2 linked regions of the Rattus norvegicus genome follow. The protein of the gene in region 2 interacts with the protein of the main gene of each other region in a pairwise test. Links are inferred from orthologs where the notes say so. Each region holds a gene or a part of one and is shown on either strand. Other genes may lie near its edges.

The links.
Region 1: the proteins of Padi4 (region 2) and Anxa4 interact in binary tests that used the Homo sapiens proteins (3 or more experiments, as listed by UniProt). The two-hybrid records come from large-scale screens. The link is inferred for Rattus norvegicus from reciprocal best matches to the Homo sapiens genes PADI4 and ANXA4.

Annotation. Positions count from the first base shown.
Region 1 is NC_086022.1:120,794,351-120,800,550, forward strand, and holds the start of Anxa4 (annexin A4), read right to left. Parts: upstream 4,164-6,200; 5' UTR 4,117-4,163; exon of another isoform or gene 3,585-4,116; intron 1-3,584. UniProt on the Homo sapiens protein: Calcium/phospholipid-binding protein which promotes membrane fusion and is involved in exocytosis.
Region 2 is NC_086023.1:158,349,552-158,355,275, forward strand, and holds part of Padi4 (protein-arginine deiminase type-4), read right to left. Parts: intron 5,204-5,724; exon of another isoform or gene 5,189-5,203; coding exon of another isoform or gene 5,016-5,188; intron 3,400-5,015; coding exon 3,219-3,399; intron 1-3,218. UniProt on the Homo sapiens protein: Catalyzes the citrullination/deimination of arginine residues of proteins such as histones, thereby playing a key role in histone code and regulation of stem cell maintenance.

The sequences.
Region 1 (6,200 bases), on a different chromosome or scaffold from region 2:
GAACCTAGATAGTATTTAGACCTCCCAGGGGAGCTTGATGAACTCTGAGGTTTGAGGAAGCATTAGGAATCTTGTGTAGCCTTATCAGTACGATTCTGTGGAGCCTTTGCCCAGGCCTTCTCTGCAGTGAGAACTCTCAGCAGCTCCAACCCCTCTCTACGGGTCCCAAAAGCCACTTTTTCAAGTTCAACGAGAAAATATTCAATATCATAAGGAATTAATCATTCCCAAGCCCACATGCCAAGCTCTTTGAGAATTTAAGAGCCACTGATTCACCCCACCACCACCACCACCCCCTCACACTGCAGCTTCCCTTTTCTGGTCAAAAAGCTTCGGGTTTCTGTTGAGATAGGGGACTGCAGTGCAGGGGATTGAACCATTGGCCTTGTGATCTTAGGCAAACAATCTACCAACATTCCCACCCAGGCTCTAGTTGGGGCAACTATATTTCACTTGGCACCTAGCCAAGGAGAGCATTGATGCAGAAAAGGAAAAAACAGATAAGACTCAGTTAAGAAGCCAGGAATCCACTGCTCACTGTGAACCGAGGCCAGAGTCTCAGCTGAACTTGAGCCTCGCCTTACAAGCCCCAACCCACTGGAGGGCCAGCACTTGAAGCCTTGTTTCTTCACCTGTTCCAGGTCACAAGCCCATCTCAGGCTGAGGGGAATTAGAACAATGAGCCTAGGCTGACCACTACTCAAAGACACTATACGGAGTCCATTGAGGTGCCTGTTAAACTTCCTCCATGCTCTAACTGCAAGAGAGCAGTGGGGGCTGGAGAGATGGCTCAGTGGTTAAGAGAACTGACCGCCCTTCCAGAGGTCCTGAGTTCAAATCCCAGCAACCACATGGTGACACCATCTGTATTGGGATCTGATGCCCTCTTCTGGGTTGACCGAAGATAGCTATAGTGTATTCATATAAATAAAGTAAATAAATCTCTGAGAGAGAGAGAGAGAGAGAGAGAGAGAGAGAGAGAGAGAGAGAGAGAACAAACCACTAAGGGCTTGGTTTGGGGAAAATGGCAGCCCCAAACCCAAGCAACACTTTTTGAAAGCTTCCTACTTTAGATTTGAGAGGTTCATCATTTTGGTGACTGGAGATGTATCTCAGGTGGTAGAGTGCTTGCCTCGCCTGCACAAGGCCTCAGGTTGGATCCTCAGCCCTCCGTAAGCTTAGGTATGGTTGTGTATATCTATAATCCCAGCATTCAGGAGCAGAGACAATAGGGTCAGGAGTTCAAGTACAGCCTTGGCTACACTGAAAGTTTGAGGCCAGCCTGGGCTACATGTTAGACCCTATTTCAAAAATCAAAGATAAACTAAAGAATATAATTTGAGGGCTCACCCCCAAATTCTCTGACTGTTTAAATGTGAAACATGGTTTTAATCAAACAATTGGATGAGATTGGCACTTAAGGGAAATCTGCTTATTCACGCTGTAGCTTCCCTCACTCCTTGACATGTGACCCATCTCCAGTGCGCAGATCCTTACCTTGATCTCCCTTGGAGAGGAGCCTGTAACCATGCACGCAAGATCAGGAAAAGAAAGGAATGGCTAGTCACAAACAAAGCAATGTGTCCTGGGATGCAGGGATAGAGGACCAAAAAAGAGGCTCACCCTGTGGGTGCTGTTGGCTGGAGGGAGGACCAAGAGGCTTACCCTGTGAATACTGATGGGTGTCAGGCACAGACTGACCCTGAATGGTACTCTCCAGACTACTTTCACAGAAAAAGAAAATGGTCCCTGACCAAAGCAAAGACTCCAGTAGGAGGAAATCATTGCCTTTGCTGTAATAGCTGTGCGTCTCTAGTACCACTGGGTACTAGAGAAAATCAACAGAAACCTGATCTGACTGGCTTTGGCAAGATAGCCATCACTGAAGTCAGTGGCTCTCAGGTGGCCGTGGTTATCGCTTCCCAATCTAGCTCCCCAAGCTCTCTTGGTTGCTCTTTACAAAAGCATTTAGTTAATGACTTGTGTGTGTATGTGCGTGTGTGTGTGGGTCTGTGAGTGTGTGTGTGTGTGAGTGTGTGGGTCTGTGTGGGTCTGTGTGTGTGTGTGTCTGTGAGTGTGTGTGTGTGAGTGTGTGGGTAGGTGGGTGTGTTGTGGGTCTGTGAGTGTGTGTGTATGTGGGTCTGTGAGGGTGTATGTCTGTGTGTGTGTATGTGTGTGGGTCTGTGTGTGTGTGTGTGTGGGTCTGTGAGTGTGTGTGTGTGGGTCTGTGAGGGTGTGTGTGTGTATGTGTGTGGGTTTGTGGGTGTGTGTGTGTCTGTGTGTGTGGGGGGTCTGTGAGGGTGTGTGTCTGTGTGTGTGTATGTGTGTGGGTCTGTGGGTCTGTGTGTGGGTCTGTGAGGGTGTGTGTCTGTGTGTGTGTATGTGTGTGGGTCTGTGGGTCTGTGTGTGTGTGTGTCTGTGTGTGTGTATGTGTGTGTGTCTGTGTGTGGGTCTGTGAGGGTGTGTGTCTGTGTGTGTGGGGGGTCTCTGTGTGTGTGTGTGTGTCTGTGTGTCTGTGTGTCTGTGTGTGTGTGTTTGTGTGTGTGTTTTCTCCAAGTCCATAGTAGGTATCAGACACATGGGATCTGGAGCTTCAGGCAGTTGTGAGCCATCTGAAGTGGGTGCTAGGAATTCAAATGCAGTCCTCTGGGAGAGCAGCAAGAGCTCTTAACCACCCAGCCCTCCGGCCCCTACCTACCCTTATGTTGGTTTTGGGTTTTGTTGGTTCGTTCTTTCTTTTTTTGAAGGCCGGATTTCATGCAGTCCAGACTAGCCTCCAATATTACCCTGAACTACCAATTGCCCTGAAGAACTGGGATCCTATTCCTTTTAAATCTAAACAGGAAGCTTTCAGAAGGGTGTTGCTTGGGTTTGGTTGTCATTTTCCTCAAACTTTCCTCAAAAGCAAAGGTACACCTGGTTTATTTGGAGCCAAGGATAAAATGCAAGGCTTCTGGTATGCTAGGGGCACGCTGTCCAACTGAAGTATATGCCTGGTCCTCCTCATTCTTCTTTCCTCTGTTCCCTAGGGATTCACAGCCATTTGTAGAGTTACTTCCTGCCTAAGAAAGCAGGGTGTCTGGGAATGATGGGCAGCGGGATAGATAACAACCAGCCATCCTATCTACCCTTCCACCATCAGCTAAAGTGCCCAGTCTTTTTTTTTTTTTTTTTTTTTTTTTTTTGGTTCTTTTTTTTCGGAGCTGGGGACCGAACCCAGGGCCTTGCGCTTCCTAGGTAAGCGCTCTACCACTGAGCTAAATCCCCAGCCCCAAGTGCCCAGTCTTAACGAAAGGCGCAGTTGCTCAGGGCCCAGAGTGCTCCTCCATTCATACACTTGGGGTGCACACTGAGCCAGGAGAGTGTTAAGCTGCCAATTGTTTTAGGCACCGAAGTCCCCGAAGTCCCCGACTGGTCAAGGCACTGAGGACTGAGTTAGAAATTAGACACAGGCAGACACAGAATGAAAAACTTAAGAATAAGATGATTCCTGGGTGCCAGGCACTGCGCCAAGACCATTTGCTACAACCGTTTGCTACAAGAGGGGCGAGGAAGGACCTAAGAATAAGAGAAAGCAAACTTACTTGCAAAAAGAAAAGATAGCACAAGTCGTGCTGGAGTGAGCTTCAGAGAATGTTAACTCAGTGGCTTATCCTCAGTGTGGAGTCCCGGGGGCTTTGACTCAGCAAAGGACTGCAGGAGTGCTGTGCACGGTGCGGTGCGGCACTGCCTGTTCCTTCCCACATTTCCCAGGTGGCTGCTTCGGCCCGGACCTCACGTTTCCAGGGCGCGGCGCCAAGTGGCCCACAGAACCGCCTCTGGTCGCGGCACCTGGTCCCTGAGTCCAAGATCCCTAGCCACAGCTTAGGACACCCGGCGGGAGCCCAAGATTTCCAAGCCTGAGCCCAGGACCGGCAGCCCAGCCCAACATCCACGGGTTAAGTTCAGGTTTCCAGGCCCCAGCCTAGGAGCTGTAGCCGAGCCCAGGATTCCCCAAATAAAGTCTAGATCTCTAGGTCGGAGCCTAGGACACCCGCCTGGAATCTAAGACCCACACCCAGAGCCCAGAGCCCAGAGCTCGCAGCGGAGGTTTGGACCACTGCCTAAGCCCCTTACCTCTCCTGCGGAGACAGGCTGAGTCTACGACTGCGACCACACCCTCGTCCCGGCCAATAGGACCCGCCCCGTCTCGGGGTGGAGACTGAGCCCAAGTTCCTGGTTGTCCCTTTGCCCACGGGAAAGTCCCTCCCAAGCGAAGCGCAGCTGGAGGGGCAGGGGAATCGCCTCTCCGGCACCAGGAGACGCCTGAGGCAGATCACGCATTCGGCCTTCCACCCCACTAAGGACAGCGACCCCACAAAGGACCCTGAGACTGCACCGCCAAACCCCACTCAAGATTGACCCTTTTACAACCAAACTCCACTGTGGTTCTCGATCCCAAGGTCACGGGCTCAGGTCCTGCAGGGATCGCACATCGCACTCGGGGGCTCCAGCCAGGCGCCCAGGCCAGTCTAGAGTGTACTGGAAAAGCAGAACATGACATCCGAGGGTACATTTCATGTCCTTTTTTCACATTACCACATACGTTCCAGAAAATTCTTGGTAGTTCCATGCCTCCCTTAGAGAAGACAGATGCAATACAGGTCACCTTTGGGAAATGGGGTTAGGAACAACTCCCAGTTTCCCATTGAACTTCCCATTGAAGCATTGCTTGGTTGCTCGCCAGCCTGGTTCTGGCTGCTTGCTGGACACATGCGTCTCGCGGCAAGTACAATGACCGCTTGATGAGCAGAGGCAGGTGCAGGCAACAGAGGCTCTACAGGCAACCTCCAATTTCACTTAACAAAGAATGGGTCGCTGTGGGCAATGTTGGCTCTCCAGCCAACCAAAACCTATGTGGTCATTATTTTAAATTATATCAGTAACTGTAGCTAGAGGAGGTGGGTTACTGTGTGGTTAATAGCTGGAGGATCAGGAGGAGGAAGGCTGATCTAGACTTGTACCTATCCTTTCATGGTTGGAAGCCTAAATGTTTCTAAGCTACCACAAGGGGAGGAGACAAAATTAATCAAGGTAAAAGAAAGGACAAAATAACGACACTTTATTTCTGAAGATTGGAGACTGTTGCCTCCTTTTAAAAATAATTGGGTGCAGGAGAGGCAGAGTGGATAAGGGTTAGTGTCTAGCAATTGCAGTTAGCCTACAGCTAAGCTGATTTACATAGCAAGTGCAACCAGGCCACAGGCAACATATATGTATATATACTGTATATGTATGCAATTTATTTATTTCATGTGTATGGATTTGTCTTCATGTATGTCTGCATGCCAGCATAGGATCCCTTGACTGCTAAGAATTGAAGGCCCATCTTTTGGGAGAAGTCAGTGCCCAACCATCTCTCTAGTCCCCAACTGAGTCCTTTATGGGACACAAGAGGCCAGGACTCCATCTGGCCCAGGCTCATACGGGGTTTGGGATCTGGGATCAGGGGAGGGAGGAGCCTTGCCTCCTTCTGAGCTCCGACAGGTGACAGGTGACAGGTGACAGGTGACAGGTGACAGGCGACAGGCAACATATGACTTCTTCCAACACCCTGCAGGCTCTCCTAAGAATGCCCAGGAGAGCACTAACTACATCCTGTTTTACTTCTGGGGAACCTAATTTAACCCTGAGCATTAAAACAATTAATAGAGTTGTTCAACTTAAGGACTCAGAGAGGACTTCATACTAAAGAGATCAAAACGAGGCACCACCAGGCACACATGATGTACCCAAATATTTGCAGACAAAACACTCGGATACATAAAATAAAACAATATATATATTTTTTTATAAATAAGAAAAGAGTAGAGAGTGCTCTTCCAGAGGAGCGAGGTTCAATTCCCAGCACCAGTATGGTAGTTCCCAACCATCTTTAACTCCAGTTCCAAATGATCCAACAATCTCCTCTGGCCTCTGGGCATCAGGCATGCAAGTGGTGCACAGACATGCGAACATAAAGATAAAACACCCAAACACATTCTTGTAAAATACCCAAATAAATACATATATTTGTTAGATTTCAAACCCAGAACAAATGGCTGAGTTACTTAACATATCAATGCAGGTGCTGGCTGCCAGGCTCTCCTTGCATCACCCCCCCCCCCAGTCCCTACCTGTGTCAGGGCCCTCCTGGATGGCATACCTTAGGAGAGTCAGAT
Region 2 (5,724 bases):
AGGTAATCTGGTCAGACAACGGCCCTACTTTCGTTGCCAAGGTAAGCCAGGGTGTGGCCAAGTATTTAGAGGTCGATTAGAAATTACATTATATTTACAGACCTCAAAGTTCAGGACAGGTAGAGTAAATAAATAGAACTCTAAAAGAGACCCTAAACAAATTGACCATGGAGACTGGCACAGACTGGGTGACACTCCTTCCCTCTTGCTCTCTTCAGAGCAAGAAATACCCCTTCCAGATTCCGCCTTACCCCCTTTGAGATCTTATATGGGGCCTCAGCTCCCCTGACTGTATTAGATGATGTTACTGAACCAACATGTCATAGTAATAATGATTTGTGTGCCAGGCTAAAAGACCTACAGGTGATACAGAAAGAAATCTGCTCACAGCTGACAGCAGCCTATGCCCCGGAGACCCCTGAGACATCCCATCAGTTCCAGGTCGGAAGCAGCTACACTGAGCCCAGACACTCGATCCTCGCTGGAAAGGACCATACCTGGTGCTGCTGACCACCCTGACAGCCGTCAATTCTCAGCCCTCACCAGCCGTGTACTAGCTGTTAGGGCTGAGAGCTGGGACCTAGAGAGAAATTCAGTCATGTTTGTCCTGGGTTCTATCAAGATAGGTGTGGGATAGGCTTGATTTCTATTACAAATGATGTAACATTACATATGTTAATACTCCTAACACTTCTTGGGACTGTGCCTCAGGGATCACAACCTATATAAGTTTAGAAGTTCTGAAAGACAGTCATGACCTTGGTATATAGGTTTAGATAGTGTCCAGATAAAATCCTGATGCTAAAGACTTTTTAGCTGACCTCCAAGAATACCTAACCTCCCTCTCAGAGGTAGTCCTTCAAAATAAGAAAAGATTAGACCTGATATTCCTTAAAGAAGGAGTCTGTGTGCTACACTGAAAGAATGTTGCTTCTATACAGACCATTCAGGAGTAATTAAAGACTCCATAAATAAACTTAGAAAAAGGTTAGACAAAAGACAGACAGAAAAACACATCAGAGATGGTTCGAGAGCTAGTTTAGTAGATCTCCCTAGATGACTACCCTACTCTCTGCTACAGCTGGGCCATTATTAATAATTTTCTTGGTTTTAGTCTTTGGCTCCTGCGTGACAAACAGGTTAATTGCTTTTGTTAAAAATTGAGTGGGTGCTGTGCGGTTGATGGTTGTGAGACAACAGTACCAGTCAGTTAGGACAACTGGTGAGACCAAATAAGACTTGATATCAAAATTCTAAGATTAGAATTATTTAGTAGGAGAAGACGGGAATGAAAAGAAAATTATACAAATTCTAGGTTTAGAAATATAAAATTAAAAGAGTTAGCCCCAAAAGCCACAAACTCAGGGCTAAGCCCTGCCGCCAGGAATAGCAGGCCATAAAGATAAAGAAAAGGAATGCAGGATCCAGCTCAGGCTATCGAGGACTGACCCATAAACCATCCAAAGACGTCCCCCCAGCTTACTCAGAGTCATACTTTAACCAGATGTCCTCCAGACCCTGATAAGCCCCTACTTGTGCTTTTCAGCCATTGTGTCCTGCAGAGAGCACTCCAAGAAACCGGGCAGCCCAAGCCTAACCAGAGGTGTTTCAAATACAAATGCTCCATCAGTTTTGACAAACGTTTAAAAATAATGAAGACCTGAAGACCCTACCCTTCTCCTGATTTAGTAGCTCTGTTCCAGGAACCAGGGGGCCATAAAACCTTCTGGCGTCCCCTTATCTCCTGGAGCCATAAAACAATCTTGTAACTTGTGGTACATTCCCCTTTGACATACCCCATCCCCTGGTGCTCACAGCCTCTGCCTTTAAATACTCTTTTTCCCAGCCTCTCGGGGCCGACACCTCTGTCTCCTGCGCGGGATACGTGTCGGCCCGGAGATCTCTGTAATAGGTCTCCGTAATAAACCTCGCCTTTGTTTATTATATCCAAAATGGTCTCTCTGTGTCTGGGGTCTGCGATTTCCCAAGACTTGAGTAAGGGTCTCTTTGCGTGGGATCTTTCAGGTGGTGCCATCCCTGGGCTAGGGGTCCTGGGTTCTATAAGAAAGCAGGCTGAGGAGCCGTGAGGAGCAAGCCAGTAAGCAGCATCCCTCCATGACTCTGTATCAGTTCCTGCCTCCAGGTCCCCACCCTGTGTGAGTTCCTGTCCTGACTTCCTTCCATGATGAACAGCAACATGGAAATGGAAGCCAAACAGACCCTTTCCTCCACAATGTGCTTTTGGTCACGATGGTTCATCACAGCAACAGTAACGCTAACAAGTTGTATCTTGAGACATTCTTGGAAGGGGGCAGGGGCTTAACAGCTGGAAATGGGGTACAAGAGGCATTAGGAGGAAGAAAGAGCAGGTGATAGCCGTGGAGCTGGACTTCGAGTTGTCTCTCGGGGACCCAGGAGCAGGCCCTCAGCTGTATAGCATGAGCTCTCTGTGCAGGCTGGGGAAGGGAGTTGGGGGAGTCAGGTGTACCTCAGAGATATAGGATGTGAAGCTCTGGGCTCATTCAGTCCCTCTGCCCAGCAATAATTGAAATAAATAAGTAACTAGAAACCTAGAGAGGGGTGTCTGATTGACTCAGCTGCCGGGGAGGTGAGGCATTGGGAGCCAGAAGCTTAAGTGACATGAGCTGGAGACACCAAAAGAAGCCAAAGAGGTACAAGGAAAGGAGCCTGCGGTGACATGCTGAGGGGACACACTAAGGAGTGTCTAAAGGAACATACTGAGGAGTGTCTGAGGGGACACACTGAGGAGAGTCTGAGGGGACACACTGAGGAGAGTCTGAGGGGACACACTGAGGAGAGTCTGAAGGGACACACTGAGAAGAGTCTGAGGGGATACACTGAGGAGAGTCTGAGGGGACACATTGAGGGTCTGAGGGGACACACTGAGGAGATTCTAAGGGGATACACTGAGGAGAGTCTGAGGGGATACACTGAGGAGAGTCTGAGGGGACACACTGAGGAGAGTCTGAGGGGACACATTGAGGGTCTGAGGGGAACACACTGAGGAGAGTCTGAGAGGACACACTGAGGAGAGTCTGAGGGGGACACCACACTGAGAAGAGTCTGAGGGGACACACTGAGAAGAGTCTGAGGGGACACACTGCGGAATGTTCAAGGGGATGCAGCCCCACCCCCACCCCAGCTTTCGGTTTCACCCCACCCACCAGGCCCCATCCCACCCCACCCACCATACTCACCTTCTGGTCATCTATCCTACTGCTGGCTGCTTTCATCTGTAGGGTCACCTCCAGCTTGGGGTCCAGAGGCCATTTGGAGGCCCCCGTGGTACTCTTCTTGGATGGAGGACCATGGATGACATCTACAACAACTTCTGGGGAGGCTGTGATGCTGAAGGACGTGGAGCCCCTTGGAGCAGAGCTGTGAAGCGACAGAGGCAGGCTGAGGCACCCATGATGAGATGGCCCACCGCCATGTTGGCCCCAGACATCCTTTTCCCAGCAGGAGGAAATGCAGGCCAGCACTGGGCTTGCCCTGGCCAGAGAGTGAATCTGGTAACGTTGCCAGGAGGGACTGAGAGCACAGAATGGCAGTCCTCTTGACTGGAGGCCTTACACTCGGACCAGAGAGACTGCAGAGGGAGGTGGATGTCAAAGGCACCTTCCACACACCCGTAGAGCAGTGTGCACACAGGGGACCATCACCAGTGGGCATGCCAAGGGGCATCACACACAGGGGGCTAGAGAGATGGCAGTACCCCTTCCCCCCACAAATAAAGACCCCACAAATATAACAACAACTGAAACAAAATCACACAGATTTCTGGAGTTCTGGCAAAGCAAATGTTCTCTGTGTGTGTGTGTGTGTTTGTGTGTGTGTGTGTGTGTGTGTGTGTGTGTGTGTGCGTGCGTGTGCCTGTACGTGTGTGAGAGAGACAGACACAGACAGACACAGACAGACACAGACAGGGTCTCTGTGTAGCCAGGCAGGGCCCGGAACTCACTCAGTAGACCAGGCTGACCTGACCTGTAATTCACAGAGATCTGCCTGCCTCTGCCTCAACTGTTGGGATTAAAGGCGTCACCACCACCACCACCCGTAGGAACAGCAGATCTTCTCCAGGCTCATCCTCATACAAAGCAACTGGATCAGGGGAGAGATACACTTTAAAATGCAACAGGAGTTGGGTTGGGCTGTGGTGGTGCAGTCCATTAATGCTAGCACTCCGGAGGCAGAGGCAGGTGGATCTCTGAGTTTGAGGCCAGCCTGGTCTACAGAGGTAGCTAGCTCCAAGACAGAGAAACCCTGTCTGTGGATGTGGGAGGTGTGTGGGGTGGGAAACGTTTGAAGGAGGAGAGAGAGAGAGAGAGAGAGAGAGAGAGAGAGAGAGAGAGAGAGAGAGAGAGAGAGAGATGAGAGAGAGAGACGACAGAGAGACAGAGAGAGACAGAGACAGAGACAGAGACAGAGACAGAGATGCAAAGGGAAGGTTAGTTCCGAGTCTTTTCCTGAGTCTTTGCCTTGGCAAGAAGGTGTGTCTGGGACGAGGGCAGGGTCTCCAGAGAGTTTAGGTTTCAGTTTCTGGGAATCTATCCTGAGAGACCAGAGCTATCCATCTAGAGGCTCCAGGCTACCATGTGCTTAATCTGCAATGCACTCTCGATGTCCCACGTTCTCTTTGTGCGTCACTGCTCCGAGAGCTTCCTGCTGACCTCATCCCATTACGTGACAGCCTTCTGTTGACTCTGCCCCTTTCCCCTGTAAGCTGGATAGAAGAAGCCGTACTTCTTAATAAACTCACTTAGCATTAACCACCAGCTTGAGTGTGATCTTCTGGCCTCGGCTTTGCCCTCTTTGTTTTTCTCATCTCCCGTCCCCTTGGGACCCTGTCTCTGAAGAACAACCTGCGGCTGGACCTGGTGGGAGGGCATTGCCGAGTGAACATAGCAGAAGGATTGTCTCCAAGGACACCTCTCTCCCCCCTCCTCTGGAATGCGTACACACACACACACACACACACACACCCCTCCAGAGACCTGCTGTAGCCAAGGTGCGGTCCTTGACACAGGGGCGGCAGCCTCAGCCTCCCTGGAAACTGAGGTGGTTTCCAAGGTTTACTCCCCAGATCTGCTGCTGCGTATCCATGGGTAGGAGCCCAGAGGTCTGAGCTTCCTCGTGTCTCCAGGGTGCTCCGGGCACCTTCAGGCATGAGAACCACACCCAGGAAGCTACTGATAGGGGCTGCTGAGTTACCCAACTGAGCGGAAGCTAAGGGATCAGGAACTCAGGCTCAGCGAGGCACACATAAAGTCGGTGGCTGAGAAAGCCTGTATTTTATTTTATTATGATTATTTTTATGAGGCAACTGGAATTGTTTCATTTCAAAGTCAACAGGACCTGCTGGACAGGGGGAAGAGTCCAGGTTTCTTTCTAAGAGACTCTGAGGTGAAGAAGCTGGGAGGTGGGGACAGGGAGGAGCTGCCGGCTTGGGTCAGCCAAACTCGGACAAGGGTGATGGAAAGTCAGTGGGAGTTGAGGAGTGACAAAGACAGCCACAGCGAGGCCAGTGGAGGAGGAAGGTTCCGCGGCAGGTGTGGAGGAGCCTGATTTCTGGAACATTCCCCATCCTTCCTCTTTTCCTCACACCCATCTTTTGACTCCACACCACACTCCAGGATCAGAGCTACCTACGGGAGCAAAGAGGGCAGAGAGGGACTTTTCCTGGAGGACTGTGGGAAAAGGTTA